Linked DNA regions of Rattus norvegicus. The protein of the gene in region 1 interacts with the protein of each later gene in a pairwise test. Links are inferred from orthologs where the notes say so. Each region holds a gene or a part of one and is shown on either strand. Other genes may lie near its edges. The genes, in order: Ccdc116 and Bex3.

What was found.
Region 2: the proteins of Ccdc116 (region 1) and Bex3 interact in binary tests that used the Homo sapiens proteins (3 or more experiments, as listed by UniProt). The two-hybrid records come from large-scale screens. The link is inferred for Rattus norvegicus from reciprocal best matches to the Homo sapiens genes CCDC116 and BEX3.

Annotation. Positions count from the first base shown.
Region 1 is NC_086029.1:97,348,781-97,352,696, forward strand, and holds the start of Ccdc116 (coiled-coil domain-containing protein 116), read left to right. Parts: upstream 1-996; 5' UTR 997-1,106; exon of another isoform or gene 1,107-1,110; intron 1,111-1,219; 5' UTR 1,220-1,287; coding exon 1,288-1,359; intron 1,360-2,261; coding exon 2,262-2,810; intron 2,811-2,914; coding exon 2,915-3,916.
Region 2 is NC_086039.1:104,063,524-104,066,927, forward strand, and holds Bex3 (protein BEX3), read left to right. Parts: upstream 1-1,372; 5' UTR 1,373-1,446; intron 1,447-1,482; exon of another isoform or gene 1,483-1,718; intron 1,719-1,801; 5' UTR 1,802-1,880; intron 1,881-2,232; 5' UTR 2,233-2,260; coding exon 2,261-2,653; 3' UTR 2,654-2,902; downstream 2,903-3,404. UniProt on the Homo sapiens protein: May be a signaling adapter molecule involved in NGFR/p75NTR-mediated apoptosis induced by NGF. Plays a role in zinc-triggered neuronal death.

The DNA.
Region 1 (3,916 bases):
CTTTGTAATGGTTGGAGGCCTCGGAGAACGCTTCAGCCAAATTCTTGGCATAAACACTGCTGTGTCTGATCATAGTGATTGCTGAACCATCCAGTGTCATTCAACCACTGGGCCTCTCTGAGAAGCTGCTCTTGGGAAGGCCAGAGGCCATGGGACCCTGAGAACCACAGATTGGGAAGAGAAAATTAAGCATTTACTTTATGTATGAGGAATGGAGTTATTAGGGACTAGGGTTCACTGCTTTGATTCCTGCCCTACACGGCCTAACAGTACAGCTGTTAGACAAGAAAGAAACAATGTGGCAGTGGAGGATGGACTTGCTGTGGATATGTTGGCAATGACAGGCTTTCTAGGATGAAGGGAGAAGGAAAACTGTAGAAGTGAGTTTATATGGACTTTAAGGTGCAAAATGTGTTGTAATACTCATTTGTGGAAGGGTGCTCAGCTCCATTATGAGGAGCTGGTGTTAAGGGACTAAGTCATATCAGCAAGAAAAAGCAGGGACAGGAACTAGGCTGTGCAGAAAACCAGGACTCTTCACTTAAAAAGGAAGATGAGGGGCTAGTCCACGCTGCACCAATGAGGGAATGGGGTCCTAAGAGGAAGACAACGAGTAGGAGGTCCAGGAATGAGCTGAGGAAGATGTTTGAATAACAAGTTGAGGCTATCACTTTCACCCTGAGGATTAGACAAGCCCCAGATTCAGACCTCTTGGCTGAATAAAGTCTTATCTATAACCATCCCCAAGCGCTACTTACTTAGCTGGCTTGACTTAAAAATCCAGCAAGGTGGGGGAGGAGCCAATCTGGGCCCCTCCCCCAACCATTGTGTCGGGGAGGATAGTGAATGAGAGGCCAGATTCTGGCCAATCAGGATGAGGTATGTAAATGAGCATCCTGGGAGGCTGCGAGGGTAGGATTCCAGTGCACTGTGCGGTAGAGCTTTAAAGGGTGCTGAATGAGTGAACCCCTAGAAGCACAGCAGAGACTCTGGTAAGCAGGTTGGGGGCTCCAGGATGCCTCAGGTCTGAAAGAAAGAAGTCTGGACACACATTTGGACCCAGACACAGTTGCAAACAAAAGGCAGTGACTTGGGAATGTCCACAGATAAGTGACCAGTCCAAGCAGGGAAAGTTGGGACGTCTGGAGGACACAAGTACAGGGAATGAGGGGTCCATGGAGGCCTGGACCTAACTTTACTTCCTCTCTCCGCCCCATACAGAGGAGTCTGCATCTGTGCTGTAGGACCTGAAGAAGGAAGCAGAAAACAAATTTAATTATCCACATCATGGCAAGGTGCCGCCACCACTCAGGTTATCTGGCTGACGACGAGGCTGCTCACGGCACCTATGTGGCTCGGGTAAGTATATCCAGCTGACCCACCACTTGCTGCTGCTTTCTCATGTCCAGCTGATCTTACTGGGTCACTTGGTGAAATCCTTACTGTAGCGTCGCCTTACCTTATGCCTGCTTGCTGAGCCACTCCCCTTGGCCCCAGATAGTACTTGGGTGGACCAGGAGCCCTGAGAAGGAGCGTACAGGACTCAAGCTGGAGACACAGAATCGAGTCCTCAAGTGTAGCACAGCAATGAAGACAGTGTAGACCTTTGCTAGAGCCTGAGGGCGGAGGGCTCCCATAATTGCCTTTTCATACCACGAACACAGAACTCCACTTTCAGACTCCCAACTAGGGCTGGCATATATGAAATAGAGGCATTGGGAAACCTTCAGGGCAACCCTAATAGACCTGTAATTTGAAGAGAAGCCCTCGAAAAGGGCTGTTGTGAGCATAGTCATAGATCCTGAAGATAGCAGAGCTGGCTGGGATTCAAACTCAGGATTACCCGATTCTAAAATGTAACTCAGGGCTGGTGAAGTATCTAAGTGGGTGAAGGCACTTTGAGTCAAGACTGATGATCTGACTTGGGGATGATCAGTTTATCCCCAAGATCCACATAATAAAAGGAGAGAACCAGTCACACCAAATTGTCCTTTGGCTGCCATACCTGCACTGAGGCATACCTACATGCACATGTACCCACAAGTAATTGTTGAAAAAAATTTTAAGTGTAATTTAGTGGCTGAACATTTGCATATCATGTTCAAGACCCTGGGTTTAATTCCTAGCCTCGAGAAACCTTAAAGAAAAAAGTTTTCCACTGTTCAATACCAACCAGCTCCTAATGGCACCCCGGGAGGACTGCTCCTCACCCATTGCAGGGCATCCTGCCTGTTATGACAACCCTCTCTGTTCCAATATAGCTGCCCAAGAAGCATCTGTTGCCAGAGATGAGGCCAACTTGCAAGCTTGGGCGTGTACCACACCTACCATCAATGAACCGATACTCAGAGCGCCAGGGCCACCAGCAAAACCTTAGGCGCCCTCGGGCATTTGGTGGCTTCCTGGATTTCCTCACGGAGGGTCAGGTACTGGACAGCTTGCAGACAGTCGTGGAGCAGGCAACAGAATGTGTGGCTACCATGAAGACAGAGGCTGGAGTGCCACTGGTGGATGTACAAGACCGAGTGGAGGTGCCAAATAGTAGGCATCGTTCTCGAGGCAGACCCAGCATCAACACTGTGCATCGGCACCGTGCTCGGCCCACGCTGTGTGCTGGACACCCAAACAATTACCCATCTTGCTCCAGCTCCATGTCTGACTCCCATAGCAGCGTCACAGCTGGATGGCTGGGGTCCCGCAGCCAAGACAGTGACCTGGGTGCCAGAGGCGTAGGCTCATTGCCACCCATGAGGGACAAACTCCTGCTTGAGAAAAACCTCAAGAGGCTGCTACGACTGGAAAGCAAAGGGGTGAGGTCTGGTGCCATGGCTAAGGCTAGCAGAAGGTGGGCGTGAGATTAGCGGCTAGGGCTCCGCCTGCTTGGATCCCTCTTAGCTTTTCTTTCTCTTTGCAGAAAGTTCTGAATCAACACTGCTCCCAGAGGGATTCCCTGCTATGGGACTCACTGGGCAGCCAGAGCAGCAGTCAGCCGACCCGGGAACAGCCCCTGTCTTGGTTCTCTGGGCTTCTGGCCTCCACTTCAGTCACCCCTGAAACTTCAGAGTTGGGACTCGGAGAACAAGAGATGATTTTCCTCAAACAAGAATTAAACAAGGAGATAAAGTCACTGCTGAACCAGCCAACCTCCTTCAACCTGCCTACCTATTGTCCACTCAGGGAACCCCATCGTACCCTGGATTTCCTGTCTGAGCACCACCTCTTTCCAGCCCTGCAGCGTGTGGTCAGCCAGGCTGTAGACAAGCTGAGCCATGCCTGCCGCCACAATGGCTTCCCCCTCTTCCCTGTTACCTCAGAGCTGTCTCCAGTGTTTCCTGGGAACTCCGATCTTCAACCCAGCTCTAAGGCTTCCTTACCCACCGACAGGGAGGCTAGGGGAGAGACTTGTTATTCTCCCACCTCGGCCTCCAGCCCTAAGACATCTCACAGAAAAAGCAAGGACAGAAGGGGCTCCCCATCTAATGCAGTCCAGATGGCTACCAGATTCAGGCTCAAGGTGACACCTACAGAAGTCTCTAATGTCCCTATCCCCTCATCCCAGTGCATGCTGAAGTCTCCTAACTCTGACCTCAAATTGCAGAAACAAACTACAGCCTCAAACCACAACCATATACCTCAGCCCCGCCATGGCCTGCACCTCACCCTGCCTGCCCCTGGGATCACAGTGGAGGTGGCCTCCTGCCAGGGCCAACTCAGGGGCCAGGTCCAGCATAGTCTTGCCACTCCCTGCCATCTCCACTCCCATTTCCCTTTCCCTGTGTTCTCCCCATTCCTTCCCCTGGGAAAAAGCTTTTCCACTTCCCCTCCTACACTGTGTCCTGAGGTGTCCTCCAGAGCAGGGCTGGAGGTCTTGGAGGGACATTTGAAGGGAAGGGGCTGCTTCACCCATCACTTCTAG
Region 2 (3,404 bases), on another chromosome or scaffold:
TTTTCATACCAAGTTTCATTGTTTCATCCATCCTTTGCTTATTTCTAATATTTTTCCAGGTACTCATATCGGAGTAGAAGGTTTACGGAGGAACTTCTAGATATTTTATATTTCTCAGCTCATTAAATATTTATAGGGCGGTCTGAAAGGTTTGGAGAGGAAAGCAAAGAATTAAAATGGCTCTTTTTCCTGAGGTCTATGAAATAAGAGATATATCATATAACACCAGGCCTTGGGTGGCAGAAGGAGGAGGCAGAGGTAGGGAAGATCACCCCAAGTTTGAGGCCTGTTAAATATAGCTAGCTCCAGTCCATTAGGGACTACATACTGAGAACCTGTCACGCACACCAAAAATTCATATAAAATGATGACTTCTCTCTGTAGAAACCATTCCAGACCTGTTTTAAAGCATTAGTTTGTATTCAGCAAGAGTCTTTTATTTTTAAATAAAAGATTGAAACAGACTAATACAATGTGTTTCAAAACTGACATGCAAAACTTAGAGAAGATATTTTCTGCTTGATGGCATAAGCAGCATTTTGTTTTCATTTTGCAGAATGAAGCATTTCTTTCAAAACTGAAAACTCACCAGCCTTGGTAGTGCAGGCCTTTAACCTTAGCTACAAGGGAAGCTGACATAGGAGGACTGAAATTCAACAACATAGACAGGCTTTTTTTTATGTTTAAGTAGTGTGTGTATTGGGGGGCAGGGGTTGAAGCGCTTTGTAAATACACCTCAGGAGATGAGAGCTTCTCCAGCAATTATTAAACTAGAGAATCAATCCCCAGCATTTCAGAAAGAAGTGGTCCTTATAATTTTGAATTTTCTAAAGCATGCTGATCGTGTGTGTACTCGCGCATGCATCCCTGCGCGGGGACGTGTACGTGTGTGTGTGTGTGTGTGTGTGTGTGTGTGTGTGTGTGTGTGTGTGTGCGCGCGCGCGCGCGCGCGTGTGTTTTAAGGAAATAAAGAGAAATATATACAGTCTATCCCACTCTCCACCTCCTGGTGTCTCATGGGGAGAAATCCTGGAGAAAACATTTGTATAAGGTGGAGAGGAATCTCAAAGAAGGCCAAAGCCAAGACCTGGCTATAGTGGGAGGGAGAGATGGAGGATGGTGCAGACTCTCCCTGGTAACAGGGAAGGGAGATGTCCAACCTCCTGACGGTGATGCCACTTGTGGTTCCTCAGATTGGTGCGGATCCGGATGAGTGACGGGTGGGGCCCGAGGTGAGCGCTGGCGGCGGGCGGCGGGGGCGGGGCCTCCTGTCGCACTGGCCTCCTGAGCTGGGGGAGCGAGCTTGGCAGTGACGCGAGGCCCTCACGTGACCCGGGGCTGCAGAGCGACGCAGCCTTGGGTGCAGTCGTCACTCGCGTCTGGCCACCAGCTCAGAGCTTGTCTGCGCGCGGCGGGCTGGCATCGGGCCCAAGGCGAGCGGGGCAGGTAAGGGGCCTGCACGCAGCGGCCCTGAAGGCGACAGCCAGGCGTCGGGCGGGCGCGCACCCCGGGACGGTGCAGCGGCTCGGCGGCTTTGTGCATCGCGGAGGGAACCCCGGCTGCGTCCGGGAAGGGGCGCCCCCGCTCAGGGGCGGGAACGGCGCGGGGGTCCCGGGAAAGGGGCGGCTGGACCTGCCGGCCTGCGGGCAGCGGAGAGCGCTAGCCAGGGAGAGCCGGGATGGGGCAGGGCTGCTGGAGATCGTGGGCGACCGCTGCGGGTAGGGGGATGGGCGGTGGGTCTGGGGAAGGGGGTGCGGTGCGGAGCCCGCGCCGAGTCCTTCCCATCCCACCCCGTCTGCAGGTCTGCTAGCCGGGAGTCGCGGAGGCGCGTCTCGCAGAGAGGATTGAGAGGAGGACTACGCGGCAAGGGATAGGCCCAGGTCCGTTCAGGGGCAGTGTGTGTTTTGTTGGGGGTAGGGGGAAGCCCCGTCTAGGACCCCAGTGAAAACCCCCACCTCACACTACTCTCCATCTCAGTCCTCCATTTTGGTGCCTCAAAGCTCAGGGAAAGGATCCTGGGAAATAAAAATGGTGGGCTTTGGGGGAGGGAGGGAAAAGAGAGCTGGGGGGTGGGAGGAGGGACTCGAAATGGAGGTTCCGTAGAGGTTGCCTGGAGACCCTAAGATGGGGAAAAATAATAATGAAAACCCTTGCAGTTAGTCTCTGAATTTTGCTGGTCACAGCACCAAGCATTCAGTTTTTTTCCTTGCCCTCTCTTACTTGTGTTCAAAGAATAACAACCCGAAAACAAAATCTCATCATGGCCAATATCCACCAGGAAAACGAAGAAATGGAGCAGCCCCTGCAGAATGGACAGGAAGACCGCCCCGTGGGAGGAGGTGAGGGCCACCAGCCTGCTGCAAACAACAACAACCACAACCATAACCACAACCACAACCACAACCACAACCACAATCATCACCGGAGAGGACAGGCCCGCCGACTTGCCCCTAACTTTCGATGGGCCATTCCCAACAGGCAGATGAATGATGGGTTGGGTGGAGATGGAGATGATATGGAAATGTTCATGGAGGAGATGAGAGAGATCCGGAGAAAGCTTAGGGAGCTGCAGTTGAGAAATTGTCTGCGTATTCTTATGGGGGAGCTCTCTAATCACCACGACCATCACGATGAATTCTGCCTTATGCCTTGACTTCGGTCATTTCCCCTGAGATTCATACTGTGATTCCCGCTGTATTCCTAGCCCTTGCATTTTCCTGACATGCCTTTAAATGACCCGTTTGTGGTGAGCCTTGTGTTATTTCCATGTGCCAGGCGGGGCTTGTGTTGCCAACTTATAATTGGAAATTGCCTTCCCACTCAGTGTGAGTTTCTGTCAACAGTACAGTGTTGCCCATTTGCATGGAAAAAATGTAAAGTCAATAAAGCAACTGAAAAGCAACCTGGGTAATCATTATTGTCTCCTTAAAGCATAAATACCTAGAGTAAAAAATGAGCTACAAAAACTCTGAAAGTGTTGGGGGGACACGTATAACTTTCCTTTTATTTGGGGCTTCATAAACTTTTGGGGTATAAGTTTATGAATCTAGTGCAGGTTTATAGAATTATTTGCTCAACAAACTTAAAGAGTAAATCCTCTTGGTGAAGATAGAATTTCTTAAAATTGTCCAATATGGTTTAGATTTTTAAGCCCCCAGCCGTCCCTAAATAGTTGGGGTAAACTGAGGAATATCTTCAGATCTTGTCCATTTTCCCAATTCCATACAGGAAAAGGAGGTGGGTTCCTCCATGTCATCTGTATGCTGCAATCCTTTTTCGGTTACAGGTATGCGATTTGGGTACACATTCCCTTCTGAATCTATACCTATAGGCCTTAGCACAGCTCAATTTGACTGAAGTATGTAGTGAGAGGTATGATAGGGTAGAAAAACGTCTATAGCTTG